Linked DNA regions of Elephas maximus indicus. The protein of the gene in region 2 purifies or fractionates together with the protein of the main gene of each other region. This does not show direct contact. Links are inferred from orthologs where the notes say so. Each region holds a gene or a part of one and is shown on either strand. Other genes may lie near its edges. The genes, in order: TFDP1, YAF2, MGA and MAX.

The links.
Region 1: the proteins of YAF2 (region 2) and TFDP1 purify together in Homo sapiens (affinity purification with mass spectrometry; 3 studies listed by BioGRID and IntAct, counting the BioPlex papers as one, with this or other methods). This does not show direct contact. The link is inferred for Elephas maximus indicus from reciprocal best matches to the Homo sapiens genes YAF2 and TFDP1.
Region 3: the proteins of YAF2 (region 2) and MGA purify together in Homo sapiens (affinity purification with mass spectrometry; 5 studies listed by BioGRID and IntAct, counting the BioPlex papers as one, with this or other methods). This does not show direct contact. The link is inferred for Elephas maximus indicus from reciprocal best matches to the Homo sapiens genes YAF2 and MGA.
Region 4: the proteins of YAF2 (region 2) and MAX purify together in Homo sapiens (affinity purification with mass spectrometry; 3 studies listed by BioGRID and IntAct, with this or other methods). This does not show direct contact. The link is inferred for Elephas maximus indicus from reciprocal best matches to the Homo sapiens genes YAF2 and MAX.

The regions. Positions count from the first base shown.
Region 1 is NC_064835.1:74,596,694-74,603,770, reverse strand, and holds the start of TFDP1 (transcription factor Dp-1), read right to left. Parts: upstream 3,023-7,077; 5' UTR 2,883-3,022; intron 731-2,882; 5' UTR 667-730; coding exon 655-666; intron 1-654. UniProt on the Homo sapiens protein: Can stimulate E2F-dependent transcription.
Region 2 is NC_064822.1:96,843,956-96,850,852, forward strand, and holds the start of YAF2 (YY1-associated factor 2), read right to left. Parts: upstream 3,014-6,897; 5' UTR 2,890-3,013; coding exon 2,864-2,889; intron 2,450-2,863; coding exon 2,324-2,449; intron 666-2,323; coding exon of another isoform or gene 464-665; exon of another isoform or gene 1-463. UniProt on the Homo sapiens protein: Binds to MYC and inhibits MYC-mediated transactivation. Also binds to MYCN and enhances MYCN-dependent transcriptional activation. Increases calpain 2-mediated proteolysis of YY1 in vitro.
Region 3 is NC_064828.1:14,456,150-14,463,600, forward strand, and holds the start of MGA (MAX gene-associated protein), read right to left. Parts: upstream 3,024-7,451; 5' UTR 2,930-3,023; intron 2,883-2,929; exon of another isoform or gene 2,639-2,882; intron 1-2,638. UniProt on the Homo sapiens protein: Functions as a dual-specificity transcription factor, regulating the expression of both MAX-network and T-box family target genes. Functions as a repressor or an activator.
Region 4 is NC_064828.1:77,419,767-77,426,876, forward strand, and holds the start of MAX (protein max), read right to left. Parts: upstream 3,020-7,110; 5' UTR 2,791-3,019; coding exon 2,755-2,790; intron 2,038-2,754; coding exon 2,011-2,037; intron 1-2,010. UniProt on the Homo sapiens protein: Transcription regulator. Forms a sequence-specific DNA-binding protein complex with MYC or MAD which recognizes the core sequence 5'-CAC[GA]TG-3'. The MYC:MAX complex is a transcriptional activator, whereas the MAD:MAX complex is a repressor.

The DNA.
Region 1 (7,077 bases), on a different chromosome or scaffold from region 2:
GGCTGACAGAGAAAGAAAGTCTTTCCCTAGAGCCAGTACTCTGAATTCGGACTTCTAGCCTCCTAAGCCGTGAGAAAAATAAGTTTCTGTTTGTTAAAGCCACACACTTGTGGTTATTTCTATTATAGCAGCACTAGATAACTAAGAAAGCAAGTAATCTCCAGACCTCCTGTGTGGAAGGTGGTCCTCAGTAGATGGGGCCCTTCTCTGCTGGGCATCAGAAAACGGGTCCAGATCCAGCAACTGCTGAGCCCCACCACACGCTCTGAATGGTGCATTCACAATCTCTTTTAATTATGGAATGGCTTTTAACAAAGCTATTCAAAATCATAAATTTTAAAGGCCCGAAAAGATTAAGTAAAATTGGTACCATTTAAACACCATAAGCATTTATCAACAGGCATCCAAGGTTACAAAAAACACAACGTAGAAAGAGCAAGTCACACATCTCCATGGAGGCTATTAGATTCTTTGATCTTTTTTCACTTTCATCCTGTTTCATGTGCTTTAGAAGCTTAAAAAAATAAACAGTACTATGGTTTATGTGTTGTCATTCCGAAATAAAGTGAGAAAACTGCAAAGAATTCAGTGCTTCGTAATTTCTCGCTATTAAAAGCTAAGGAAAGGTTTGTAACACGAAGCTAATACACTTACATCTTTTGCCATGTTACCAGATCCGTGAAGTCAATTTTATAAACGTTCACCCTCCAGAGAAGAAACAATGATTTTTCTGAAAAGAAGGGAAAAGAAAAAATGAGTAAGAATAAAGAAAGTTAATAATATGTCACATCTTAAGAGAAACGTTCCCCACCCCCCCCCACCACCACCCCAACTGGCCTTCCAGGTAACAAGAACCTTCCTTCCCAAATGTACACACTTACTCAAAAGTGGAACTGGCAAAAACAACTCCTATACTTAGGATTTTAAAATTCATTGCAGCAGGTGAAAATATATTTTAAATTGGCAAACAAGCCCATAAACAACCAAGACATAGGAACTCCATGACCTAAAATCATTGCTACAACACCCCAACTTTCTCCCCAAATCACCCAAAGATAATCCCCTTTACATATCTGCCTGTGCTACCTTTCTGTTTCTAAAGCATAATCCATGGCATAACTACACGAATGGTCCCATTCGGCTCATTCACATCTCTACGGGATCAATATACCACCCCCACAGTGACCCACCCAGGCACACACATACATGCACGACCCCACACATCCATCTAACAGGAGTATAACTCTCCCTTCTGTCCTAGCACAGACATACCGGCGCGCAGGGAAAGCCATCCCAAAAGAACTCTTAGAGGGACTTCCCCCACCCTGGTCAGTTTCCAGCTCGCTGACCCAAGCCAGAGGGTAGACTGGTAACTCTGACAGGTGGGCTTCCAGAGTCACCCCAAGCAGTCCCAGGGTCCAGGGAACTGCTCTCAGTCCCCCATCCCAACCCCCACGCCCCCAGCCCGTCCGGGTCCGGGCTTTCTCTGACCTGTCACTAGGCCTCAGGAGCCACCTCCACCGAGAGGAATCTCCCTTCCCCCGCCCGCCACCGGAACCGGCAGTCCTCGGCTCGGAGCTCCCTAAAGGACCAGGTCGGTGGAAGGGTCAGCCCCTCCCCGTTCCCTCCCGAAGGCGCTCGCTGCAGGCCGGAGCGGATCCGGCCGCCGGGGCCGGGAGCGCGGGCGGCGCGCTCGGGCCCGGGACGGAGCCGGCGGCAGCTGTGCAGCCCTGCCGCCCGCCACCGCCGGGTGCACCGCCCGGCAACAGGCGCCCACCGACCCCCTCCCCGTTGCCCCGCGCCCCCGGGTGGCCGAGGGGCGCGCGACGATGCTTATCCGGGGCCTGGAGGGCCTAGCTCCGGCCCTGCCGCCCCGCCTGCCCCCACCCGGGGACCCCCCTGCACCCGTCCCGAGCCCCCACCTCGCCCGCCCAGACAGCTAGCAGAGTCCCGCAAGAGCCCCACTGCCCGCCCTCCTCGGTCGGGCCCACTCCCGCCCAATCGCGTCCTGCTCCCCACCCGCGCCAACCCCCCATCCCACATCCTACAGCCGAGGTCAAGTCACCTGGAGAGCGCCTTCCTCCCCCGGCCGCCCACCCCCCCCACCCACCGAACGGCGGCGGCCAGCCCCGCAGCCCACCAACTGCAGCGGCTACAATGAGGCGCGGCGGCGGCGTGGGGGGTGCGGGGTGGGGGAAGGTTTACCGACTGCACATGTGCAGCGCACACAGAGCACACCAGGAAAGAGCCCCAAGGAGACACCGAGCAGTGCGCGCGGCGCCCACACGCAGGCGAGGCGGGGGCAGGGCCGAGGGGCCGGACCGCCGGGGACCAGTCCGCCCCGGGCTGCCCCCTCGCCGCCGTTGGCCCGCCCCCCGCGCCCCGTGGCCGGCCCCGACCCCGGCCCGCCCCAGAGCCGCCTCTCGGGCCAGGGGCCCGCGCACCGCCCGGTGCCCCCTCCCTCCAGGACCAGCTGCTCGCCCTGCCCTGGGCCCCATCCCCCAGCTCCATCCTCCCGCGGCGCCGGTGGCTCCGCGCCCTCCCCCATCTCCATCCTCCCGGGGTTCCCGCCCCAGGGCATCCTCTCCCCCTCCCGCAGCCCCGGCCGCCCTCGGCCCGCGCGCACCCGCCCGCCGCCTGCAGCGCCAGGGTGGCCGGCGCCCCGCACCTGGCTCGCCCGGTCCGCGCCCGCGCGCGGGGCTGGGGGCGGAGATGCTGGGCGCCGAGGCTCAGGGCCCCGCCGCCCCAGCCCCGCACTCACGCGAGGATGGCGGGGATGGGAAGGCCCGGCCGCGCTGGCCAGACAGCCCTGCGTCCCCACTCCGCTCCCGCTCCTCCGTGGCCCCCGGAGCGGCGGCACCGGGAAAAAAATTGAAACTTACACTTTGTACCGGGAGCGTCGAGCCGGCGTGACGTGCCGGCAGCGCGGTGACGTGCGGCCACGAGCGGCCCCATAGAGACTGGCCCAAAGTGTCAGTTTCACCCCCGCGCGCTCCGCCTCGGGGAGCGCGGCGCGCCTGCGCGCCGTTTTCGCGCCTTTGGCTCCCTCCCTCCCTCCTTGCCTCCTCCCGCCAGTTCTGCTCCGCCCCCGCCTGGCGCCGGGAGAGGGGCTCAGTGTGTGTGTGCGGAGGAGGGAGGGAGAGAGGGAGGCCCGCGGCGAGCGTGTGTGGCCGCTGGCGGGCAGGCGGGCGCGCGGCGCGGAAGCTGCTGCCTACCCCGGCGTGCGCTCCCGGCTGAGGACGGCACGTCTGGCCCAGCGAGGAGCCGGCAGACACCCGGCTCAGCCACCGCGCCTCTCCACGCCCACGCCCAACCTTCACCCAAATTCCAAGCAATTCCGTGCATCCTCGGTGCCAGCTGGGGAGGTATCCCGGAAGTGAGTTCAGGAGGGAAAACTGGGCAGCCCAGTTTGATCTGACTGCAGGAGCGGCCTCATCACTAGTTTGGCGTGCTGGACCCTTATTCCTGGAGATTTAATCACAACCTCGATCCCACCACTGCTAAAGCAGTGGGTGGATTCAACCACAGACGGCTGTAGAAACGCATCAGAGGGTTGACTGGCGGGCGCATCTAGAGTCTGGAGTCCAAAGTTCAGTGCTGGATTAGGCAGCAATGCCCAAGCCCTACCAGGCCCTCCCTCTCTGCCTCCTAGTGCGATGCATAATTAACGTTTGCAAAGTACTTTGAGGTGCACAGACCAAAGGCCCTCTGTATGTGCAACATATTATTATTACATTACTACTATTACATTACACCCGCACTTAGCATGGTTTCACAATTTAGCCACTTTTATGCTGATTACATCCACTTCTGCTTTTCTAGTAATGCACTGACCCCTTAAATCTCTTTTCACTTAAACTGTTAGCAATTTAATTAACATTGGATTCTCCTGGTGGTGCAGTGGTTAAGACCCAAGGCTTGGAAAAAAGGTCAGTAGTTTGAATCCACCAGTTGCTCCCTTGTAAAGGGGCAGTTCTACTCTGTCCTATAGGGTCGCTATGAGTCGAAATCGACTCGACGACAAGGGTGTTTTGTTTTTTTTTTTCTTCTTTGAAGACAAGCTAATAACGGAATCTTCATATTCTGCTTACAGATGAGCACACAATGAGTATTTAAAGAAACATTGAAGGAGAAGTTGAATAAAAGACTCTAAGAGGGAAAACCAAAAACCCATTGCCGTTGAGTCCATTCTGACTCACCATACTGGACAGATTAGAACTGCCCGATAGAGTTTTGAAGGCTGTAAATCTTCCCAGAAGCGGACTGCCACATCCCCCTCCGGTGGAGTGGAGCTGGTGGATTTTAACTGCCCACCTTTCAGTAGCAGCTGAGCCCTTTTAGCTACTGCACCACCTGGGGCCCTTACTAAGAGGGAAAGTCCTACAAATTACTATCTGGAGAAAGACCTTATTCTTTGCTGTTAAGATTCATACAACTCTTCACCCATTACCAGGTTCCCATGATTTCAGAACCGATATTCCTCCATTATATCCTACAAATAGTCATATTTTCCTAGCTCCATTTCTTGACTTTCACAAAAAAAATATTTTTTACTAAATTTGAATATTCCAGCTTAGTTAGCAGTGGTAAGTCCCCTTTCCCAACCTCTTGGACCCAAGTGTAGCTGTAGCCACCGCACCAGGAAACCTCCCCGGGAGACCTAGGGAGTTGGAATTAAGAAGGAAAAAATGAAACTCATAGTATGGGATCTGAAACCCCTTCCCTACAAATTCGTGATTCAGGTAATTCAACAATGTTTACAGAGGATGGTGGTGGTAGTTGCCATGGAGTCAATTCCAGCACGTGACGACCCCATGTGTGTCAGAGTAGAACTATGCTCCACAGGGTTTTCAAAACCGAAAAAAAAACCCAAATCCGCTGCCACTGAGTCAATTCTGACCCATAGAGACCCTATAGGACAGAGTAGAACTGCCCCATAGGGTTTCCAAAGAGCAGTTGCTGGATTCCAACTGCTAACCTCTTGGTTAGCAGCCGGGCTCTTAACCACTGTGCCACCAGGGCTCCCATAGGATTTTCACTGGGTTATTTTTTGGAACTGACTGTCAAGCCTTTCTTCCAAGATGCCTCTGGGTGAACTAGAACTTTCAACCTTTCTGTTAGAAGTCGAGCACAGTTAACCTTTTGTACCACCCAGGGATCCCACCTCTAATATTACTCGAATTGATTTCTGCACAAAAATCACTGTAGGGAAATATTCTGAACTTGCAGGGGGTACCTACTTGCTGAAAGCTCATTGGGGCTCTGGTTTGTTTGGGGAAAGGGCAAAAAGTTCTTTACCCCACAGAAAGCTCCTATTTCTGTGTTAACAAATGGTAACAGAACTCTAAAATTTTGCATTGAAAATCCAAATTTTTTTAGCCACTGCCTTGGCTTGAAAACTTTGGATCAAATTGCTGAAATGCAATCTTTTTATTAAAGCTCCCCCACCACCAAAAAAAAAAAAAAAGTTGCAGTTGAGTCAACTCCAACTCATGTCAACCCTGTGTGTGCTAGAGCAGAACTGTGCTCCGTAGGGTTTTCAAATGGCTGATTTTTCAGAAGTAGATCGCCAGGCCTTTCTTTCGAGGCATCTCTGGGTGGACTCGAACTTCCAACCTTTCAGTTAGCAGCAGAGCATGTTAACCAGGTGCACCACCCAGGTGCAATAAGCCCATAAAACCCTGGGTTTATCTACTCTAATAAGCCTGTAATGCCCTGTATTTATCTACTACTTCACATTGTTTAGTAAACTTAATTCTTTCTATGATGCCTTCATTCAGTATTGACTTGATGCATAACACAGTAGTTGGTGTTCAGCCCTATATTACTGGGGCCAGATATTGTTTTGTATGTATAAGATTTGTCATTATGAACCAGAATACTACATGGAAACAGTTCTGTTCTGTGTTTTGTTAAAAGAAAGTCATTTGGTTCTTTCCAGGTAAAATCCTCATCTCCCAAAATCTCACACTTTCGTGTCTGAGAGATCTCTACCCTGTTGAATCTTAGGACCTGATGCAAATCCTTCTCTCCTTCCCACACCATTAAACTGCCCTTTAAAGAGAAAGAACATGTTCCAATCCTTTGAAATGTTTTAATTCTAAATTTGCTTGCTAAATACAAAATTTATCTTTGGTTTCCATATTAAATCATGTTGGTCTTTTCTTCAGCCGTTTCCTCAGTTTTTCATCCTTCTTGGATCACCAGAGCAATAGTGATACTGAGGGAAGACAGGGAAGGGGGCAGGAGTTCATGGAGCTTATGAGGAAGGACAGGTGACATTTTCTCATTCTTTGGTAAAATATAAATAAAAGCATCTGTGGTTGTTTAGATGCCTCATAAAATATGATGAATCAGTGTGTTTGCTGAACTTCAAGGTAAATCCCCTAGCCCTTCTCCCCAACCAGATCATCACTTCTAAGCACCACCCCGTCACCTAACATATGAAGACATTTTTATTTTTCTCGCAATCTTTGCTACCTCATTTCCCCTTTTTAAAATTCCCAGTAAAATCCAAAGAACTCCTTCTTGAAAGTTTTAGTCTATCAGTCCTTGACCCTATCACGTGATTATGCTCTTAATAATTCTTGTGTCTTAAAGACTTTTACAGCGATTGACAGCCTGAAGCCACAGTCCTTGGAAAATTGTCACGGACAAATTCTCCAGGATCATAGCATCTAACATATACAAATTTGATTTATCCAAATTTATCTTACCAGTTTTATCTACAACCTAGACGCTTTCCATTCGCTTTGCATCTGAACTTTCCTCTGGCTTTTGCAATACATGAAAGTCCTTTAATTCCTTTGGCATTTAATTCCACAGCTCTTCTAAAGCATTCCTTCTTCGTAACTTGACATTGCTCTGACTAGGATGATATCAAGATTAGTTTCTTCTATGGAGTTCTACAGTTTAAGGTTTAAAGATCCATGTTCTCTTTACATCATTTCCTTCCTCGATAGAACTCATTTACCATCATCAGCCAACAGTGAACCCAGCACCAGGAGCTTTCAGCATAATTTTAAGAAATTTGACTTTATGTGCAATTTAATAACTTTGACCATTTGTCTACTACCT
Region 2 (6,897 bases):
TGCTTCTTAGTAGTGTTCTACAGTCTTTTCATTCTGTTTTTCTAATATTACCAAAGAGCAAACTATTTTGTGATGCCATCAATATCTGCCCTATTAACAATGCCCTGTTCTATTGTTCTTTCCAAACATGGATTCCACTCTGAATTTCAGAAACAGTGATAGGAAAACAACAGATTAACAGAGAAATTAGAGCTCTTACGTTTAATTTATGGCCAAAATCAAAAGAGAAGAGACAATTCAGAGAGAGGAAGGAAGAAGCTGAGAGGGTCTTAGTGTAGAACACTTACTTTTAGGAACAGAGTGTCCCTTAGACTTCTGGTGAGTTGCCCAGAGCCTCTTCAGTTTCAATCCAAATGACAATGCTTCTCTGAGTCCTCCTCAAGTAATGATTCCACCACTAAAAATTGGATCTACAAGAGCTCAGAAGTACTGGTAAAAAATGTCAGGGGCCCCCACATGGGCCTCAAGCCTCTTTTAAACTAGGCCCACTTCTCTGTCCTGGGCCAACTCCCCTGTGCACTATATTCCTTCTTCTTCCAGGTGCCAGGTATGCGGCCTGTTTCTTCTCTTCTGAGCTGTCACCACCTACTCTATTTCTCAGGGTTCCTCTAACCCCAAGACTGGCTGTGGAGTAGGACACCAGCTTCCCCCCTTCCTTGCTGTCCCTGCAAATAAACATATAGGCTCTTCTAATTTCAGTATTTTTCTATTGGCTACAAGAAAATAGAGGGAACAACAAAAAGCAACAACATAGTACCAGAGATTAAGATTATAATAATTGTCTCCACTTTAAAGCGCCTGTCTCCAAAAAAACAAATTTTCTAGAACTTGTTTATTGAGCATTTTAAAAAGTATAAAGTACTAATATAAAATATACAAATATAGCCTAAACCAAATCCAAGGCAATAAAGATATCAAGATAAAAGGATATTCTGCTTTTCAAAATACTTAAATCACGGGTCCAAAAACAGTTTACGATCAGATTCATTTACACATACAGGTACTTTTTTCTTTTTATAATGTTCTGCTGTTTTATTCCCTTGAATATAGTAGATGTTCAAAAACTTGTTTTTTAAAGAATATGAAAATGTTCAATACATTTTATCTAATACGAGTGGGAATTAATATACAAAAAACATCTTATGATTTACCAAAAGACTTCAAAAGCATCTGGTTTCACTAAGGAAATGTTAAAATTTTAAATTAGTGTCAACCACTTCTACCTCTATATTAACATTTTTTTAATGAAATCCCATAAATGGGGTTTAAAAATCAGGATATCTCATTTTCAGAAATCTAATACCAACTGAATATTTAAATCTAACATTACCGATATTTAGGCTCTTTTTTTTTTTTTAACAAGAGACCACATTGTAAGATATTAATAATGTTCTTATACTTTTAATAATTTCATTTCTAACAGACTTTGTAAGACCATATTACATAAACTATATAAATATTAAGCTATAAATCAGAGGATTCTAACAACTTAATTCAAAGGCTACCCTCCTATAAAAAGGCAAAGCAACTCCCTAAGTGCTGGGAGATCAAAAACGTCATTGACTTCGAATTTCCTGGATGATTTTCGTTAGCCACTTAATTGACTTAAGTGGTTTTTTAAGAGACAGAACTATTATACTTTAAGCGTACAATAACATAAAGTTAAAACTGAAAATAGGCAGGGATCATTTTATCTCATTTGTATAGTCTAACAGATTGCCACTTAATCAAGCTAAAGCTATTCAAATACTTTCAGTAAAAAAATGTGTCCTATTGAGTGGGCTTACCTCCAACTATTTATTTATAAAATATTGGAGAATTTCCATAAGAATACTAAACAAGACCCTTCCATATTTCAAAATGAAGTTTAAGCTACCGTGTATTCTACAGATACTTTTTTCTTTTTTGAGGAATGCAATTAGATTACATCCTTTGCTTCCAAAGTGGATTTCATGGGCTTTCCTTGATCCCCACACACTAATACAAAAATGCAGCCAAGATTATTATATCCGGGGCGGGGGGGGGGGGGGGCTCCATTACACTCAGCAATACGAATTAAATCGCAGTAGCTAATGCCTCTCTTAAATAATTTATCCTCTCCTGGCAGCAAAAAACGCTACAGCCTCTTCAATTACCCCTCACCACAAACCATCGCCTAGGTCGCGATCAATCTGACCCAGCTGCTATCGCGGCCACCACCTCAGTCTCACCTCTCCTACCGTTTGGGTCTGCAAGTGTCACGGGAAGGGGCGGCCGCCGCAGGGGCGTCCTCTGCGCCGCCACCCGGGCACCCGGCGGCGCGCGGGGCAGGCCCGGGACTCACCGTGTGGAGGTGCCCTTCCGCACATCGCACATCATGCACTTGAAGGCCTCGGCGCTGTTCCGGAAGGTGCAGACGCTACAGTCCCAGTAACCCTCATCCGAGGACGGCTTCGGCTGCCGCTTCGGCCTGCAGGACACAACCCAGACACGACGCGGCGCAGGGTCACCAGCAGGCCGCGCCCGGGCCCCGCGGCCATCCCCGCCCCGCCCCAATTCCGCGACCCCCGCCTCACCGGCCCCCGGCGCGCTGCGCTCTGGCTCGGAGGGGGAGGGGAGTCAGGGAGGAGAAGGGCGCGAGAGCCGCCGCAGTAGCCGCCGCCGACGCTCTACCACTGGGGGCTGCCCCTGTGGCCACCGCCGCCATCGCGCCTCCATTGTGGGGTGGCCGGCGCTGGCCCCTCACACGGCAGCGCTCGCGCAGCAGCGGCGCCGCCCCCGTTCTCGCCCCGGTGCCCGGGCGGCGAGTGAGGCGGCCGCCCGAAACCCAGCGCGAGGGCCCCGCCGCTCGCACAGTCGGGACCCCGGTGCCGGGCGCTCTTACCTGGTGGGGCTCTTCTTGTCTCCCATGGCTTGGCTACAAACGCACGCCAAGAGTCGCCGCCGCGGCTGCTCTGTTTGTCAATAAGAAGGATAATAAGCCCGGCGGAAGCAGGCGGGGGAGGGAGGAGGGAGGGGGCGGGGAAGGCCGCACCGCGGAGCTCGGAGCAGCCGCCGGATCCCACGCAGCCTCCAGCTGTCGGGGAAACTCCTGCCTGGGCGCACGTGACCCGCGCCTGCCAACCAGCGGCCGCGCCGGAGACTTCAAACACGGCTAGCGCGGCCCAGCACCCGCGGCCAGTTCGCTGGCAGCCGCTGCAGCCTCGGGCGCCGCCGCAGCCGCCGCAGCTCCGCGCTCTTTCCCGCGCTTCCATTCTGCGTCCCCGAGTGTCGCACGCTTCGGAGCTCCTGCTAGGAAGCGTGTGGCCTGCAGGAGGACTGGGGATGCTCCGTCATCCCACGCGAAGCCTGGTTCGAAGTGAGGCCAGCGTTCGGAGGTAACCCATCGCGGGACAGAAGGGACCTGCGGGAGTCTGCAGGTAGAACCGCTTTCCTGGCCTCAGCCGTCCATGTCTACTCAACACCCGCCCGAAGGATACCTGGGGGGAGGCGGGAACCGACATTGAGCGCCATTGCTAGGTGTCAAACACTGTCTGCCTAAATCCACACAAATGCTCTACTGTATAGGCGTTGTCACCCTCAATTTAGAGAAAATGAAACTGAGGCTCAAGAGAGATTAGGTGACTTCCTGTAGGTTACATATTAGAAAGTGCAAATCTAGGAGCCTGAAAAAAAGAGCCTGAGCCTGGTTTAAATCCAAACTAGCCCTCTTGGCTTTCCAGGACTCTGCAGTAGCAGCTTTTAAAAGAAAATGAATACTCATAAACCTTTGTTTTTTTTAATAACAAGTTTGCAAACCCGTTTTTTTTTTTTTTTTTGACAAAGGAACACTTTTCCCTTGGTCTCAACGTAATGGAGGCCCTCATCACCTTGTTCTACACTCTGGTACAGCCATGTAACTGCTTTCTGAAGCTCCAATCCCACCGCACCAGTATATATCCTAAACCACAGCCAGATTAATAATAAACATTGTTAACATTATGCCACCACTCTGCTCATAAGCTAATGGCGACCAGACTCCTTAGGCTGGCATTCAAAGACTTAACACAAGTTTTCCCTAACTCTCATTCTACTCCCCAACAGAAACGCAGCCTCCTGAGGAGGATTAAAGAGGAAACCGCTTGCCGAAACCCTTCGTGCACTGCATGAAATATTTCCCCCTTCTTTCTGACCAGACTCATAGCTCATAACGACCCTATAGGACAGAATAGAACTGCCCCATAGAGTTTCCAAGGACCGCCTGGCGGATTCAAACTGCCGACCATTTGGTTAGCAGCCGTAGCACTTAACCACCATGCCACCGGGGTTTCCTATGAGTCAGAATCAACTGGACGGTGCTGGGTTTCTTTTTTCGGTTTGGTCTGACTAGAGATCAATTATCCAATAATCAAGGTAAGCGCAGTGCTTACCTTGCTTACCAGATCATATGTAGTGAACAATTCACGTGTTTTCACCACATGAAAGACTCTGCTTCTGGTATGGCTGGCATCTTTCTCTCAACCCCACAGCACCTTCCTACAGGATCAAAGACTGTCTTCAATTTTGCAATCCCTGACAAGAGCAGATAATCCAGTAAGCAAAAGTAAGTATGGGCTTACTTTTGCTTACTTACTAATCTGTAGTGAACAATTCAAATACACGGTGACACCCACGTGAAATTGTTCACTATAGATTAGTAAGTAAAAGTAAGCTTGCTTAGTGGGTTATCTGCCCTTGTCTCTGACTACTATTTCTGCCCATCTTTGTAGGTTCGCGTCAGATCTGAGTTCCTAAAGAATTCTTTCTGTTTTATAGCTGAAAGGGTCTTAATGTGCTACAAAGGAAATAGTACAGTTAGAAGTCCCAGTTCCCAGCCTGTTTCCCCTAATCTTTAACTGATGGATCTTGAAAAATTTCTGTAATTTTCAATTTTTTTGTCTGCAAAATGGCATCTATATATATATATATAAGGTTGCTGCGTGACTAGTAATAATACAACATTTTTTAGCACTATATGCCAGGCATTTTGTAAATCTCTGTATACAAATGGGTATTTTATAAGGCTCAAAAGTACTATGCAAATGTTAGTTCTTCTCTAGTCTTAATCTCTTCATTTAAAAGACAAGGAAGTTAGGGCCTAGGTTAAATGGCTTCTGTTTAATGAATAGGCCAGGATTAGAGCTCAGATGTCTATTAGTCCTCTACCAAGCCATGTGTTCTGCTTAACCAAATCACCCCAATTTGCAGCAGCCTCTGAACTCAGCACTATCCGTACTTTTTGCAAGTGTCACTTTTTTTGACTCAAATCCTGATTCAGAAACCATGGGGATTTTGACTGAGGAAAGCATACAAGAGAAGGAGATCTAAAGCCTAGTCTCAGTCTCTCAGTAATGCCATGGGTAAACTTAATTAAGCCACTTGGGTTTTTTTCATCAGTAAAATAAAGAGTTAAAACTATTGTCACAACTAAGGTCCCTTCCAACTCTAAGGCATTGTGATGTTTTTTATATTCCTCAACTGGATGCATCATCAAAGAGAATGACAAGAACTGGTCTGTTTGCAAAAGTGATGGCAACACTGTATTTTTCAATCAAAAGAAAATCAAATCAAGAACTCTAAAAAAAGTTGTCAGTGGTGTAAATCACCATTTCACTAGAAAATAAATTCCACCACTAGAAAGTAAGCTTCACTTCCAAAGCACAAGTGCAAGAAGGGCAGGAATTTGTATTCGTGGTATTCATCGCTGCACCTCCAGTCACTAGAACAGTCTGACACATAATGGACACTTAATAAATATTTTGAGAAGGAATAAATTCATCCATGCCACAGTTCATGGATGAGGTGTTTTTTCACACTGAGATTGACAGCCCATTACGCATATTGGCATGCAGTAGATGGTCTATAAATGCTGAAGTTTACAGCCCTGCACACTGAACTTTACAACTCTGCAAAGTAATCCTTGTAGAGGAATCAGAGATTGAACCCAGTTTCTATGAAGCACATGCCCTTGCACTATACCAGTTGCTGACCATTTATTGGGTGCTTTTTTTTTTCTCTTAGAAAGATCCTGCCTTTACTAAACTTACGTGAAGAAGCACCTCCTCCTTCTTTACCACAAGAGTCCAATCTTTTTTCCTGAAGTGTTTTTCTTACGGTTTGAAAAGAGTGACTGCAGAAGAGGAAGATCCTTGTCACTAGAGTGATCCAGGTTCTTAACCATTTAGGTGCCTTTTCAATACATTTGCAGAGTTCAGTCCGCAAACGTAATTCATTGGGGTCACTTGTAAAATGACACAAACTGGCAATTGTTTTAACAATTTAAAAGTGGTAAAGTATTATAATAATTTACCATTAAAAAATTAAGTTAACTCCAAGGTAACTGATATATTCATTTCCATTTTAATATGCTTCCTAGAGTGGGAAAGACTGGAGAAATTACTGAAACTGTACGTGAGATCATGCGTGCAGCTGAACAGTAATCTGTTTGCTGTTGAGATATAAAAAAGACTGAGTGCCCCTGTCTTACATACATTGAGAGACTAACTGCGTGGTCCCGTGGGCCCCAGCCTGTTCTAATTAGACCCAAGTTTATGCCCATGAAACAAACACAACAACAATAAACACCATGCATTAAAGTTTTATACACCTATTAGACAACAAGGGCTAATACTTGATATGGTGAGCACTGTCTCATTTATCAACTGGAATTTGAAAGGAAATTAGTGTGACTAAGAGAGGAATAAGATACAATTCTTCCCTGAGAGAAGAACTCAAAATGAAATATAACAACAATAAACTACAATTGTAAAACCAATCACATTTTAAAAGGTTAATTTGGTTTTTGTCTGTTTCTTTGGTGTTTTGGTTTATTTTGTTTTTGCAAAATGAAGATACCTTTACTGATTTTGCTCGGTATAAAAGTTATATGTCACCAACATA
Region 3 (7,451 bases), on a different chromosome or scaffold from region 2:
TATTTTTCACAATTTGCCTGGTTTTGCTCATCATTAGATCCCCTACACATGAAATACTGTCTGGCACTTAGTAGGCACTCAACTAATATGTTACATAATACTGAATGAGTAAGTTTTTTAGCTTTACAGTGTTTCTGCCAACTAGAAGCTGTATTATGTTACACTATCGATTTTTCTTTTACCTGTGCCTTTATTTGCAGTCATATCTCTTAGAACTGCTCATCCTATTTTAAGAGTGGAAAACTTCATCCACTTTTTAAAGTAGTAACTTTATAATTTCATATTTTATATTTAAGTATTTAACCCACCTAAAGCATTTAATTTTGTTTAAATTTTCAAGAAGGAGTCTCATTTTATTTTTACCAAATGGTTGGCCAATTGTTCCAACATAATTTTGGAATCCTTTCCTCACCGATTTGAAATGTCACCTTTATAATACTAACAAAACCAAATCCATCGTCATTGAGTCAATTGACTCATAGCGACTCTACAGGACAGAGTAGAACTGCCTCATAGGGTTTCCAAGGCTGTCATCCTTAGAGAAGCAGACTGCCACATCTTTCTCCCACACAGTGACTTGCTGGTTCAAACCTGTGACCTTTCGGAGCACTTAACCAGGGTTTCTGTAATACCAATAACCAAAGCCAAACCCGTTGCCATTGAATGGATTCCGACTCATAGTGACCCTATAGGACAGAGAAGAAGGGCCCCACAAGGCTTTCCAAGGAGCAGCTGGTAGATTCCAACCGCCAACCTTTTGGTTAGCAGCTGAGCCCTTAACCACTGTGCCACCAAGGCTCAATGATACTAACAAAACCCAATACTAACAGCTATCTATGTATTTGTAGATTTATCATTCTGTTCCACTGCTCTGTCTATAGCAGGATTACTTACAGTTTTGATTATCGTATCTTTATTTGCATATTCACTAGTACAAACCGCCTACCACTTTTAAGTTTTTCCTACTTTACAGGCTGATTCTTCCAAGTGAACTTTAGAATCATTTTGTTGAATTTTCAAAAGGAAATCTAGTTGGAATTATGTAAAATCACCAGCCACGTGGTCTTCTACATATTACTTAATCTCTGTGTGGCTATTTCCTTCATTAAAACGGAGATAATAGTACTTACCTCATAGGTTTGTTATGAGAACTAAATGAATTAACAAATGTAAAATACTTAGAACACTACGCTGGAAAGTGTTAACTCTTACTAGAATTGTTAATAGCTATTATGGTCATTGCTCAATATATGTTTCCCAGATTCTGCTCCCACAAAATTAGAAGGTGAATTAAAAGGTACCATAAAACATAAGCACTGACACGGAAAATACCTAATTTATGCCTGCTACATTTCACCAGGGCTTGAATACTGATAAAATGAAGAGCTGGAGCTGGGAGGAGAGAACCAGGAGAAACACCACAGGCTGGTACGTGAAGCCTCAAAAACTTCACAAAGATTGGCCGACCAAGTGTAGAAGACTTTAGGCCCTTCCAGTCAGCCCTTATGGGGAATAAGCAAGTCCCTACTAATCAGCTGTTTTCTCATCTCCACAGTTATGCTAATAACATTTACTCTTTAATTTCTTTCCAGGAAACATAGGGACTGTACGTCTAAAAGGCAGGATTTTTTCAAATGAAGTAGTGAACAGGCCCAGATTATAAATGTTACTGATAAAGGTGAACAGGCATAGCCAGGTTATTATAACAAATTACATCCACCATGTGACCCACATCAATGTAAACAATGGGGGGGCGGGGGGCGGCAGCGACGCCAGTGGATGCTTGTGGGTTTTTCTCTTTGGGGTGAGAAGGGTGCAGTCTTGTCTCATAATAATTAATAACTTGATTTTTTGTTACATGTATAAAATTGAAATTGTGTATAAATCATACACCCACCACATTATGATGTGAAAGGGCCTTAAAATAATCTCCTCCACAGAGGTAAAATATAAAAGTGAAAATGGAGATCGAGAGTGGCAACAGGACTTGCTAATCGCAATACTCCCCAAACACCTTGAACCCAGGTCTCCTAAGGCCCAGGCCACAGCTCATTCCGAAACACCGGACAGCTTCTCCCCGGAGGCTTGCCATGCCTCGAGAGGGAGGAGTCGGAACGGACCCTCAGGCCACAGCAAAGCCGTTTGAAAACCACAGGAGACGCAGAAAGCACGTGACTCTCCGGGCCTTTTCCCTCCCACCCTCCCCCTTCCCCGCGCCAGCAGCACGCGCTGCCAACCCCGTCATGTGACCTTCACGCGGCCCCACCGCTCCCCCTGCTAGGCGACTCTTTCCAGCAGCCATTTTGCCGGGAACGTGTCGTCAGTGCTCACACCGGAGCAGGACCCCGCGAAAACCCGCGGCCAGATTGTACAGGCCGCACACGCGCTTCGAAAACCGCACTCGGGTCGTCACGGCTGAGCCGAACCTCCCTGAACACGTCGCACCCCGGGGCGCTGGGGAAACCGTGGACGCGCCTCGGTCTGAGATTGGCTTGTGGTGTCCACGTGACGCTATGTCCCCCTCCCTCCCCCTACCCACAAAAACACCCACACAGACTCTTAACACCTCGCGCCAAGGACACAGCCCCGGCGCGTGGGAAAAGACGGAGCGCGTGGCAACCAAGGCGCCTGCGCATACCTGCCGGGGCGGACCGTAGCCGTCCCACGCGCCGCTCCGCTCACGGGTCCGGGAACCCTCGCGCGGCCGGACCGCCGGGCTAGTCATTGGCGGCCAGGTTTGGTCACGTGCAAACCTCAGGCCCGCCCCTAACCGCTGATCACCTGGCACCGTGCTCGAAGCGGCTCCGAAAGTCGTTTGCACGCGGGAAAGTAGGGTAGTTACAGGACCACCTGTACTCCTTTCTGGAGTTACATCCATAAAGGGGAAACGAAAAAACAGGGTCTCAAAACTAAGGAAGCTCACACCTACCGGTCCAACTTCGCGTACCCGTCCAGGAGCCGGGAACCATCGCCCTTGGGCGCACCCCGAAGCACGCCGGGAAACGTCTGGCGCCCCTCAGAGCGCTGCAGAGCATGCTGGGAAAGGCACCTCTCCCGATTTCTTGGCCCTCACCCCGTCGTCGTTCCTTTCATGTCCCTTTGAAAGCCTGGTCTTTGGGCTCCGAACGAGGCGGCTTGGATAATTATGGGTGTGACTGGATATAACAGGCACTTTCAGCCTCCCTCTCCCACTTGTTCAGTCTGCGTGGTCTTGGGGAAATCGCCAAACCTCGGTTCAAGGGGCAAGCATTTAGTAAGTGCATGTTGAGTGCCCCTGTGAATATGGCAAAAAAACCGGCAAGAGTATTTGCCTACAACTAAGATATCAGTTCTTCATTGTCAGTGGAAAGGAATGCTAATTTAAATACAACTTATTACAAGTCCCATTGGGAGTGAAAATAATGCCTAGAATATCTCTCGAGATAGCAGACCAGACCTTTCTAGGTAAACGTATTGTTACAGTTGGGGAAAGGGGGGAGGGGAAGGAGACGGGGGCAATTTAAAGGGGCCAGGTTACAGTTTCTGGTTCTACCTAGTACCAGGTATATGTTGGAACCGAGAAAAACATCAGCTGCTACTGCTGAGAAAAGATGGGCTTACGTCAAACGAAGTTAATTTTGTAACTTGTATTAACAAACTAAAAACCTAATGTTCTGTTTCCCATGAAGCCCCCACTTACCAGTTCATACCCTCTTCTTTGAACTCCGTTCCTCAGTTTTGCTAATTCCAAACTATTTTATCAGTTCACAAAGGAATGATCCAATTTGGGAGATTCGGCTAGCACTAGGTCAGACTCCGAAGAGCTCTCATTTATAGACTAGAAATTAAATGTATTAATTTATAACCAAGCCAAAATATATAGTGTCACCAACGGGGCACCGTTTTCTAGTTTAAAGGTACTCGGTAAGTCTAATTATCAGAAAATTGGTTCTTAACTAGAAAATCAAAAGAAAGGAAGATGATCGAGTGTAAAAAAAATCACTAATTACAAGTATATCTATGTTAAGCTTAAAGTTTACAAAATACTTCTATATACTTTATTACATTTAACTGTGACAACTCTGAGAAAAGAACTATACTAGTATTACCATTTTCTGTGTTAGTCTTGACTGGGCACCTGGAAAATGTATTTCAACATGTTCTCCAGGCAACTCTTCCACACAACTAGGTTAGGGATCTATTGGCTATCGTGAAAAGAGTCTTGGCCTTGAAGTCAGACGCACCTCGTGTCAACTTGCAGTTCTGTCACTGTACTATAACATCGGACACGTTTTTTGTTTTTTTTTTTAACTTTTTGGTCCTTGGTTACTTTAGCTGAAAATTGGAGCCAATCATACCTAGTCTTCAGACTGTCATGATGATTCTGAGATAAAAATATTTAAAAGACCTGGAACGGTTCCTTATGAATAGGAGATACTCCATAAATATGGTTAGGAGTTAGTGGCAAAGGTTGTATTTGAACCAGCATCCTGTACTCTGTCCGATATGCACACTCTTGAATCCTTTTTTTCTCCACTATTCTGTTTCTCCCCTAGACAGTGCTAGAGGCCCACTGACAGATCCTTCCACTGCAGATCTTTTATAGACTCCATGGTGACTATTGCCCATCTGTTGGGACATATTACACTATCTTCGTCCTTCATTTCAAGTTGTTGTTTTTTGGTTTCCCTAAACATATCAAAATGCCGAACCAAAGACATTGCAGTAAAACAATAATGCTTAGAGGGTGGAGGAGATGAAGGGAGGAGGAGGCATGTGTGCCTCCACTTCATGAATGTTAAAAAATGGTTTATATTTAACTACCTCAGAGCAAACAGGCCCTCGAAACTCACTCTTCCCTTCACTTACACATCAGAATGTTTCAGATGCTTTCTTCCCAGTCCCCTTCCTCCCCTTCCTCTCCTAGCTTCAGCCTTCACTTCTAATAAAGGGAGGTTTTAGTTTGGGCAGGGCATCTCAAGGAGGAACAGCACCTTGGGCTTAAGGTTCTAAAATTCCACTGATGGTAGTACATCCTGGAGGGATGCTAGGGCCTAATTCATATTAACCACGTTCGCTGTCTTGTTAATTTTATGGGACTCTAGAAGACCCAAAAGCCCAGTAAGTACACAAGGCAGTGTTTCTTTGAAAATGTCGTATACATAGTTTATAACACCCGTGGATTTGGAGTTCTTTTATTTTAAACACAGAAAATGGTACCCTCCTGTCCTTTGCCTAACCTTTGCCTCTAGCACTAGTACCCCATGAGAAGAATATTAATCTATGAAGAAACTTGGGTTCTTTCCTCCCGACTCAGTTCCTAACCAAATGTTTGATTTGGATAAGTTAAAGTTTGTAGATAAATGGAATAATTTTGTATCTCTACTTCTATGTACCAGATAGAACTTTTGTTCCAGCACGTACCTCTTTATTTTCACAAAAATGTGTATAACGTATACCAGTTGGAGAGGCAATATGAGTAAATATTACAATCGACGATATTACCATTCTAACAAATGGAAGGATTTAGCTATTTAAAAACAGATTTGGGCTTCTTTAAAAAAAACAGGCATGTTTGCTACTGTTCCAACACCTTGTTGTGTGCAGTCAAGTCGATTCCAACTCATTGCAACCATATGTGACAGAGTAGAACTGCCCCATATGGTTTCCCAGGCTGTAATATTTACTTGGATCCACAATCAATGCCCATGGAAGCAGCAGTCAGGAAATCAAAGGACACACTGCGTTGGGCAAATCCTCTGCAAAAGACCTCTTTAAAGTATTAAAAAGCAAAGATGTCATTTTAAGGACTAAGATGCACCTGACCCAAGCCATGGTGTTTTCAGTTGCCTCATATGCATGTGAAAGCTGGACAATGAATAAAGAAGACTGAGGAAGAATTGAGGCCTTTGAATTATGGTTTTGGTGAATAATATTGAATATACTATGGACTACCAGAAGAAAGAATAAATCTGTCTTGGAAGAAGTACAGCAAGAATGCTCATTAAAAGCAAGGGTGGCAAATCTAAGGTGTATCAATTGGTCTCAACTCAAACGTGGAACAAAGGAGAATGAAGAACACCAAAGACAAGGTAATTATGGGCCCAAGAGACAGAAGGGGCCACACAAATCAGAGATTACATCAGCCTGAGACCAGAAGAACTAGATGGTGTCTGGCTACAACTGATGACTGCCCTGACAGGAAACACAACAGAGAATCCCAGATGGAGCAGGAGAGCAATCGGATACAGACCTCAAATTCTCGTAAAAAGAGCAGATTTAATGGTCTAAAACTGACACTAAAAGGACCCCGGAAGTCATGGTCCTCAGACGTTCTGTTAGCCCAAGACTGTTACCATTCCCAAAACAAACTCTTCAGACAGGGATTGGACTGGACTATAAGATAGAAAATGATACTGGTGAGGAGTAAGCTGCTTGGCTCAAGTAGACACATGAGACTAAGTGGGCAGCTCCTGTCTGGAGGGGAGATGCGAAGGCAGAGGGGGACAGAAGCTGGCTGAATGGACACTGGAATACCAGGTGGAGAGGAAGCGTGTGCTGTCTCATTAGGGGAAGAGCAGCTAGGAGTACATAGCGAGGTGTGTATAAATTTTTGTATGAGAGATTGACTTGTAAACTTTCACTGAAAGCACAATGAAAGTAAAAAAAAAAAAAGCAAGGATGGCAAGACTTTGTCTCACATACTTTGGACATGTTATCAGGAGGAACCAGTCCCTGGAGAAGTACATCATGCTTGGTAAAATAAAGGGTCAGCAAAAAGGAGGAAGACCATCAACAAGATGGATTAACACAGTGGCTGCTACAATGGGCTGAAGCATAACAACAATTGTGTGGATGGTGAAGGAGCAGGCAGTGTTTCATTCTGTTGTACATAGGGTAGCTATGAGTTGGAACCAACTGGACGGCACCTAATAACAACAATCCTTAAGGAAGCAGATCCCAGGTCTTTTCTCCTGCAGAGCCACTGGTGGATTTGAATTGACAATATTTTGGTTAGCAGCAAAGTGTTTAAACATTGTGCCACCAGAGCTTGTTATTCCAACACCTTAGATAAATTAATCCTCATACTGAAGATACAATCATGTTAACTTGATAGTATAATTGTTTGAGAACCCTGAGGACACAAAACACATTCAATTGCTTTGATGGTTAAGGTTGTGTGTCAACTTAGTTGGGCCATGATTCTCAGTGGTTTGGCAGTTACATGATATAATCACTTCCATGGTGAGATTTAATGTAATACGATCACCTCCACGATGGGATCTGTTGTGAGTAGCCGGTCAGTCGAAAGGGAGCTTCCATGGGCATGTGGCCTACATCGAATAGAAGTGGACATTCTAGCAAGGTTCGTGACCTTTTGCCTGTTCTGGATCCTGCAGCCGGCTCGTGTTCGTCTGAAGGTTTATGGGACTTTAGGTAGCAGCTTATCTGCCTTCTTGCCTGCCGATCTT
Region 4 (7,110 bases), on a different chromosome or scaffold from region 2:
TTCTTCTCCACGCTGTTGTGATTATCTTAAAAGTCTTAACAAGTATATATGTCAAAATAAAAACAAAGGGTCAAACCCACACGCCTTCCCTAACCCCCAAAATCTAAGGGAAAAATCCTAGGCACCTTAACACCAAACTAAAAACATCTAGGGAAAACAATGAGATTGGCATTCTAAGAGAGTAGAGGCATTTTAATAATCTAATAAACCAATTTACATCAACTTTTCAATATTTTGAAAAGCAGAACACTTTCAAGAACCGTGAGCCAAAACCTCACAAAGAAAGCTTTTCTCTCAATGGAGAGTCAAAATAATTCCAATTGAATGGGTAAGTCTGCAAAGGAAGCCTATGAGAGCTCTAGTCAATCCCTACCCGCCAGTCCTGACCAGGCCCTGGGGCAGATCTTAAAAATGGAAACTTGGAGGAAAAAATGTTTCAAATAGACTGGGCCGTGAACATGATACATCAGTTAATGTAAACAGACTCTAAATTATTAGAGATAATAATAACCAAATAAGGAATTCAATTTTCAAATATATGTACAAATACAGGTATGTGGTAATACTTCAAAGACCTAAGGCAAAAAAAAAAAAATCTTCTTAGCGACTATTTTCCAGGACAATTTTTAGGACTCCTGGGACAACTGTATCCTGCAGTTTAATGGAAGTATCAGTTCTTAAAAGCAACACTTTTCTTACTGTGCATCTGCTTGGGCCACTTGCACAATCTTTGCTCGCTCTAATAAAGAGCAGGTACAAGAGTGCCTGCTTTTATCCTGTGGTAATTAAATTCGTATACCAGAAGTATCAAAGTGGCATCATGCACACTCTAACCAGCCACTAAACAGCTTGAATATTCCACACATTCTTTTAAAAATCAGAATAACATAAAAATCCGGGTTCCAAATCTTTCTTAAAAAAAATAGGGAACCTGTCAGCACTGAACCCTCACCCCTACATAGTAACAACTCACTGGAGTTGAGTAGTGGCTGCCTTTTTAGAAGAGGTGTGTGCTCCCCAGTACCCCAGTCCTCACTTCTTCCCACTGCTGTATTCCTAACTATCTCGCTGCCTGGCCCCCACAGACATTTGAATTGTTGATCCCTATTCTATACCCTTCTTTCCCACTGTCATATATTAGATACTCTGATATACTTCTCCCTTCACTTCTCTGATTTGTTTTTTGTCTATTCCTTCTTCCCCTCTAATCTATTATTCACAGAACACTCACAGTACTGGCTCTGTCTCCAAAGACATGAGATTAGTGTACACCTAAATCCACAGAATCATCTACTAAAAATACTAATAACCCTGATAAATTACTGATAACACTGTATGGAGTCCATACAGTGTATGGAGTCCTCATCTCTTAGCAAACCTGTCTGCCAATGCCACATCTTCCAACAATTTTCCTATTTTTTATACTTCTCCTTCAACTCAAATATAAAAAGTCAGACCACAATAAGCTGCATGTGACACTTTCATATTCAACCTCTGGCTCCTCTACATTTCCAATTTCTGCACTACAGTATCACATGCCAGATTCTAGGTCTACAGCAGTCACATGACTTTTGGTTAAAGGTGATTGCATGTGCTTCAGCTTCACTCACGACTAATATGCAGATATTGTTTGGAACCTCCTTGTTCTACATCTTCTGAGGACACTGCCCTGAAATTATGCTACAGTCTACTTCAGAACGCTGTATTTCTCATTTCCTGCTTTAGAGTGTGGTGGCTAGATTCCCCATCTGAAAACTACTGGAACGATTCCTTTCTTCACATACAGCTCATCCCATTCACAGTCACTGGAACCTATCACCCGAGAGTCTGGAATTATGAGAATTGCAACCTTCCCCCAATACCTGGAATCCCAGAACAAGGCCCCACCTCACCTTAGCGGTTAACAGATTTACTACAATGTTAAAATAGAACGATCTCTTTTTTTCTCTGACCCCCAAATGTACTAGAACTGAACGGAAATGAAAATGAAATGGAGAGTAGGAGACGTACCGCAGATTGAAACCTCGGTTGCTCTTCCTGAAATAAGAGAAAAAAAAAAATAGAAAATATAAAAGTTATTTTTACACTTCATATTCAATAATTAGAAAATGCCGGCGGCGGAGGAAGCGGCGGGTAGGGAGTCAGTCCGACCCCCTCCCTCCCTTCCCACCCCACGCTCCAACCCCTCAGCGGGATCCGGCAGCGGGGCAGGGGGGTCCTGAGCGCCGCCTCTCCTTCCGGATCCGACCGGGGTAGGAGGGGGTCCCGAGCACTGTCTCTTCCCCCTTGCACCCAGCTCGGGGCTTCTGGACACTCTCAATCCCTCTCTGCCCTCCCTCACCCCCAGGATCCGCAGGTCACAGGAAAAAGTGATCGCAGACCGAGAGAACAGGTTCTGAGCACCGTCCCCTTTCCCAGGATCCGGACAATGGGATCCCGAGCGCACCCCACCCCTGTCCCCTGGATCCTGAGCGGAATAGGGTAGGAGCGGGCGGCCGCAGCACCCTCCTCCTCAGGGGAGGTGGGGGTCCCATAGGCCGCGTGTCTCCTCCCCACTTCCAGTCCCTGGAGGCCCCTCCGCTTAGGAGCTGGGAAGGAAGCGAGCCGGGAGGGCGACTAAAGCGGTCCAAGTCCCGGAGAGAAGGGAAATGAGGCGGCGGCAGCCCGGCCCCCTCCCGCCGGCGCCCCGCTGAGAGTCCCAGCCGCTGTCCCCGCCTGACAACCCGCACGGGAAGAAGAAGCCCCGGGACTCACGTCGCTCTCCACCTCGATGTCATCGTTATCGCTCATTTCCTACGGCCCAGGGAGCGGCCACTGCAGCGGCGGCGGGGAAGGGGGAGGGGTGAAGGGGAGGGGGAAGTCACCGACAACAACAAGCCGAGTCCCCCCCCACACACACACACACACACTCACTCACTCACTCACTCACTCACTCACTCGCTCTCTCACACACACAACACGGGCGAGAACCACCTCCTCACTGCAGCACCGGATCAACGGCGGCACGCACGCCCGGTCGGCCCCCTGCCACGTGACGACTCGTCACGCTTAGGCCGCCGAGACTTGTAGTTCCCATTCCTTTGACCGACCGCCCAGCTGGCGCCAGAAAAACTACAAATCCCATCAGGAACTTCATCCAGGAGACGCCAGCCCGGCTTGTTGACGAAGCCCAAAGCGCCTGCGTGTCCCGTGGGGGGGGGGGCGGAGAGAGAAGCGGCGCGGTGCCTTCTGGGAGTCGTAGTCCACAGACCGCGAGTTGTCAGGAGGTTTTCCTCCCGAGGCAGCAGAGGAGGCTTCTGGGAAGAGAGGACACGTGGAGAGAGCTTGGGCTTTTGGAGTCCGGCACCGTATGAGCGCCGGGCCCAGGGGACAGGGTGGAGGTTCTGAGGGAGTAGCTGGCTGCCTAAATAAGCTGCTTCTCCTTCTTGCACCTAGTTTTACTTTGTCTTCTTGATTCCCGAATTGTCCCGCTTTGCGACCTGGGGCGTAACTTGCCCGCGAGGGAGTCCTGTGGCTGCGAATTAGGGGGCGCGGCTCGGAAAGCCCATGCAGACCTGCGGGATTAGGTTCTGAGAAGAAGGTGTCAATGGCAGGTGTTAAGTGGTGTTACAAGAATCGCCTTTCTATGGGACTGCTCCCAGGCGCGAGAATCTTGTATTCATTCATCCCGGAGTGACCAACCTTGCTACTCAGTGTGCGGCTTTGCTTTCACAGATCCCTTTCTTACCTTCAACAACCGATTTCGTGGAAGTAAAAGCCCCTTTGGAGTTTGTTGTAGCCCAGGCAGTTTACGGAGTGCCCCAGTTCAGAGTGTCATAATTAAGAATCGCAAAAAGGATCAAAACGGGAAACTGGTTGCAGCCCCCTACACAGTTTAAATCATATGTAAATATTGTGAGAAGAGATGTGATCACATTCATTCTACCAATATTTATTGAACACCTAACATGTGCCAGCACGAGAATGCGCTAATGTACAAGACCTGAACGGTCCCTGTCTTGGAGCCGCTCACAGCTGTGGAAGCAAAAATGAGACTGCTCTGCTGTCATTCGAAGAGTATACAAGTCCCACAAGAAGAAAAAAGCAAAACAATAACAAAGACACCCTGAGATAAACAAAGTGGCAGAAGTACTTTTACATGTGGTCTCGAATGAAATCTTGAGGTTTCTCCATAAATTACTGATGCCCTAATGAAAACCATTTTATCTCTGACTTTTGAATGCAGAAATCTGGGGATATGTCACCATCTTTGTGACAGTATCTCCCCATGTGAGCATGTCATTTATGCTGCAAGAGACAAATGTAAACGCGGTAAATCTTTCCTTTACATTTTTTCCTTTAATACCTGTTTTGTGTCTTATTCAGTGATCCTGTTCAACTGAAGTCTGCATGTCTTCACAAGGAAACCTCTTTTCTAAATGAGTTTGTGAGTCTCCCTTTCAAACGACCTAAGTGGGACGGACACATGTAGCAAACCATTATGTGATGAGTTGATGGGGTATTAGATCTGGATGGTAGCTCTTCGGTGAGTTAATTAACTTGATATTGGAAGCTAGGGCTAATTGATGATTTTAACAAATTATCATTGGGTGCCTGCTATGCACAAAATGCTATAGGGCAGTAGTTCTCAACCCTGGCCATAAGTTAAAATCACTTTGGGAGGTTTGAAAAACCTCAATGCCCAGACCACACCCCCAAACAATTAAGTTCAGATCTTTTGGGGTTAGAGCCAGGCAACAGTATTGTTTAAACTCTTTAGGTGATTCCAATATGCATCCAAGATTGAGAATCATTTGTATAGTGCATGCCAAGATAAATGAGACAGCTTTCCACTGAATTATGTACCTTAAAAGGGTGAGTTTTATGGTGCGTAAATGATATCTCAATAAAGCTGTCAAGAGGTGGTTGTTAGAACAGAACAAGGGGATAATGTGTGGTTTAAAGTCAGGAAAGGTGTGCGTTAGGGTTGTATCCTTTCACCATACCTATTCAATCTGTATGCTGAGCAAATTATCCAAGAAGTGGGACTATATGAGGAAGAACGGGTCATGAGGATCAGAGGAAGACTCACTAACAACCTGCATTATGCAGATGACACAAACCTTGTTTGCTGAAAGTGAAGAAGACTTGAAGTACCTACTGATGAAGATCAAAGGCCACAGTCTTCAGTATGTACCTCAACATAAAGAAGACAAAAATCCTCACAACTGGACCAATAAGCAACATCATAATAAATGGAGAAAAGATTGAAGTTGTCAAGAATTTCATTTTACTTGGATCCACAATCAACGCCCATGGAAGTAGCAGTCAAGAAATAAAACGATGCATTGCAACGAGCAAATCTGTTGCAGAAGACCTATTTAAAGTGTTGAAAAGCAAAGATGTCACTTTAAGGACTAAGGTGCACCTGACCCAAGTCATGGTATTTTCAATTGCCTCATATGCACGCAAAAGCTGGAATAAGGAATAAGGAAGTCTGGAGAAGAATTGATGCCTTTGAGTTATGGCATTGGCAAAGAATGTTGAATATTCCATAGACTGCCCAACCAAAAAAAAAAAACACAAAACCAAACTTGTGGCTGTCGAGTCAATTCCGACTCATAGCGACCCTATAGGACAGAGAAGAACTGCCCCATAGAGTTTCCAAGGAACGTCTGCTGGATTCAAACTGTCGGACCTTTAGTTAGCAGCAGTAGCACTTAACCACTATGTCATCAGGGTTCCCTGGACTGCCAAAAGAAGGAATAAATCTGTTTTAGAGGAAGTACAGCCAGAATGCTCCTTAGAAGCAAGGATGGTGAGACTACATCTCACGTACTTTGGACAGGTTATCAGGAGGGACTAGTCCCTGCAGGAGGACATCATGCTTGGTAAAGTAGAGGGTTAGCAAAAAAGAGGAAGACTCTTCAATGAAATGGAGTGACACAGTGGCTGCAACAATGAGCTCAAGCATAACAGCAGTCATGAGGATGGCACAGAACCGGACAGTGTTTCATTTTGTTGTACATAGGGTTGCTATGAGTTGGAACCAACTTGACGGCACCAAACAACAACAAAAGCTGTTATAAAAGAAATAAGGTAGCCTTTACCCTCCCTGAATTTAAAACCTGGCAAATTATGAACACAAACAATTATAATGAAGACAGATTATGTAAATGTTGAATTAGTAGAAAAGGCAGTGAATGCTGTAAGAAAGGAGAGGAGGGAGAAATTTTCCTAGGTCTGAAATGGTGTTAGGGAGGTGTTGATGATCAGGGAAGTCTTCTTAGGCTCTCGAGGACGAGGACCAGTCTGCAGGGACCAGAGCAGACTGTGCTCATCATTGATTCTCTGATTGTGGAATGGAGACCTGAGCAAGTAAGCAGAGGTAAGGAGGAAAGGCCTTCCGGGTAGAAAGACTGGAGATTTTAACACATCTGTTTTTAGTACTTGATAGAATATGGAGACCTGTCAACCTGGTTAATAAATTTGACCTAATAGACATAAAAGACTGCACCCATCATTGTAGAATACATTCTTTTCAAGCAGTCGTGGAACATTTACAAAAATTGAGCATGTTCTAAGCCATAAACAAATTTCAAAGGACTGTGATCTTAGAGAGGATGTTCTCAGACCTAATGTAATTAAACTAGAAATAATACAAGGATAACTAGAAAACCTTCCTAAGTTTGGAAATTAAGAAATACTTTTAAATGACCTAAATAAAAGGACTTTCATGGCCAAGGCACATAGGCAGGAAAGAGAACTAAGCATATTAGAACAGAAATTTCCTCTAGTTTTCTTTTTTAGTGCTTTCCTGATGTGAATAGTAATTTAGGACTTTAATTCATTTTCATCTTTGTACACTTGCATTTCTTTGGTAAAGCCCTATGTGAACTTATCAAGACTGGGCCTTGTCACTGAGCAGCCCAATTTCTCTAGCCCCTTGCTACTTTAAGGAGTCCCTGAGTGATATAAATGGTTAATGCATTTGGCTGCTAACTGAAAGGTTGAATGTTCAAGTACACCCAGAGGTGCCTTGAAAGAAAGGCCTAGTGATCTATTTTCAAAAAATCAGCCGTTGAAAACTCTACATCCTGGATAGAGTGGGAGAAAAATGTAGAACAAAAT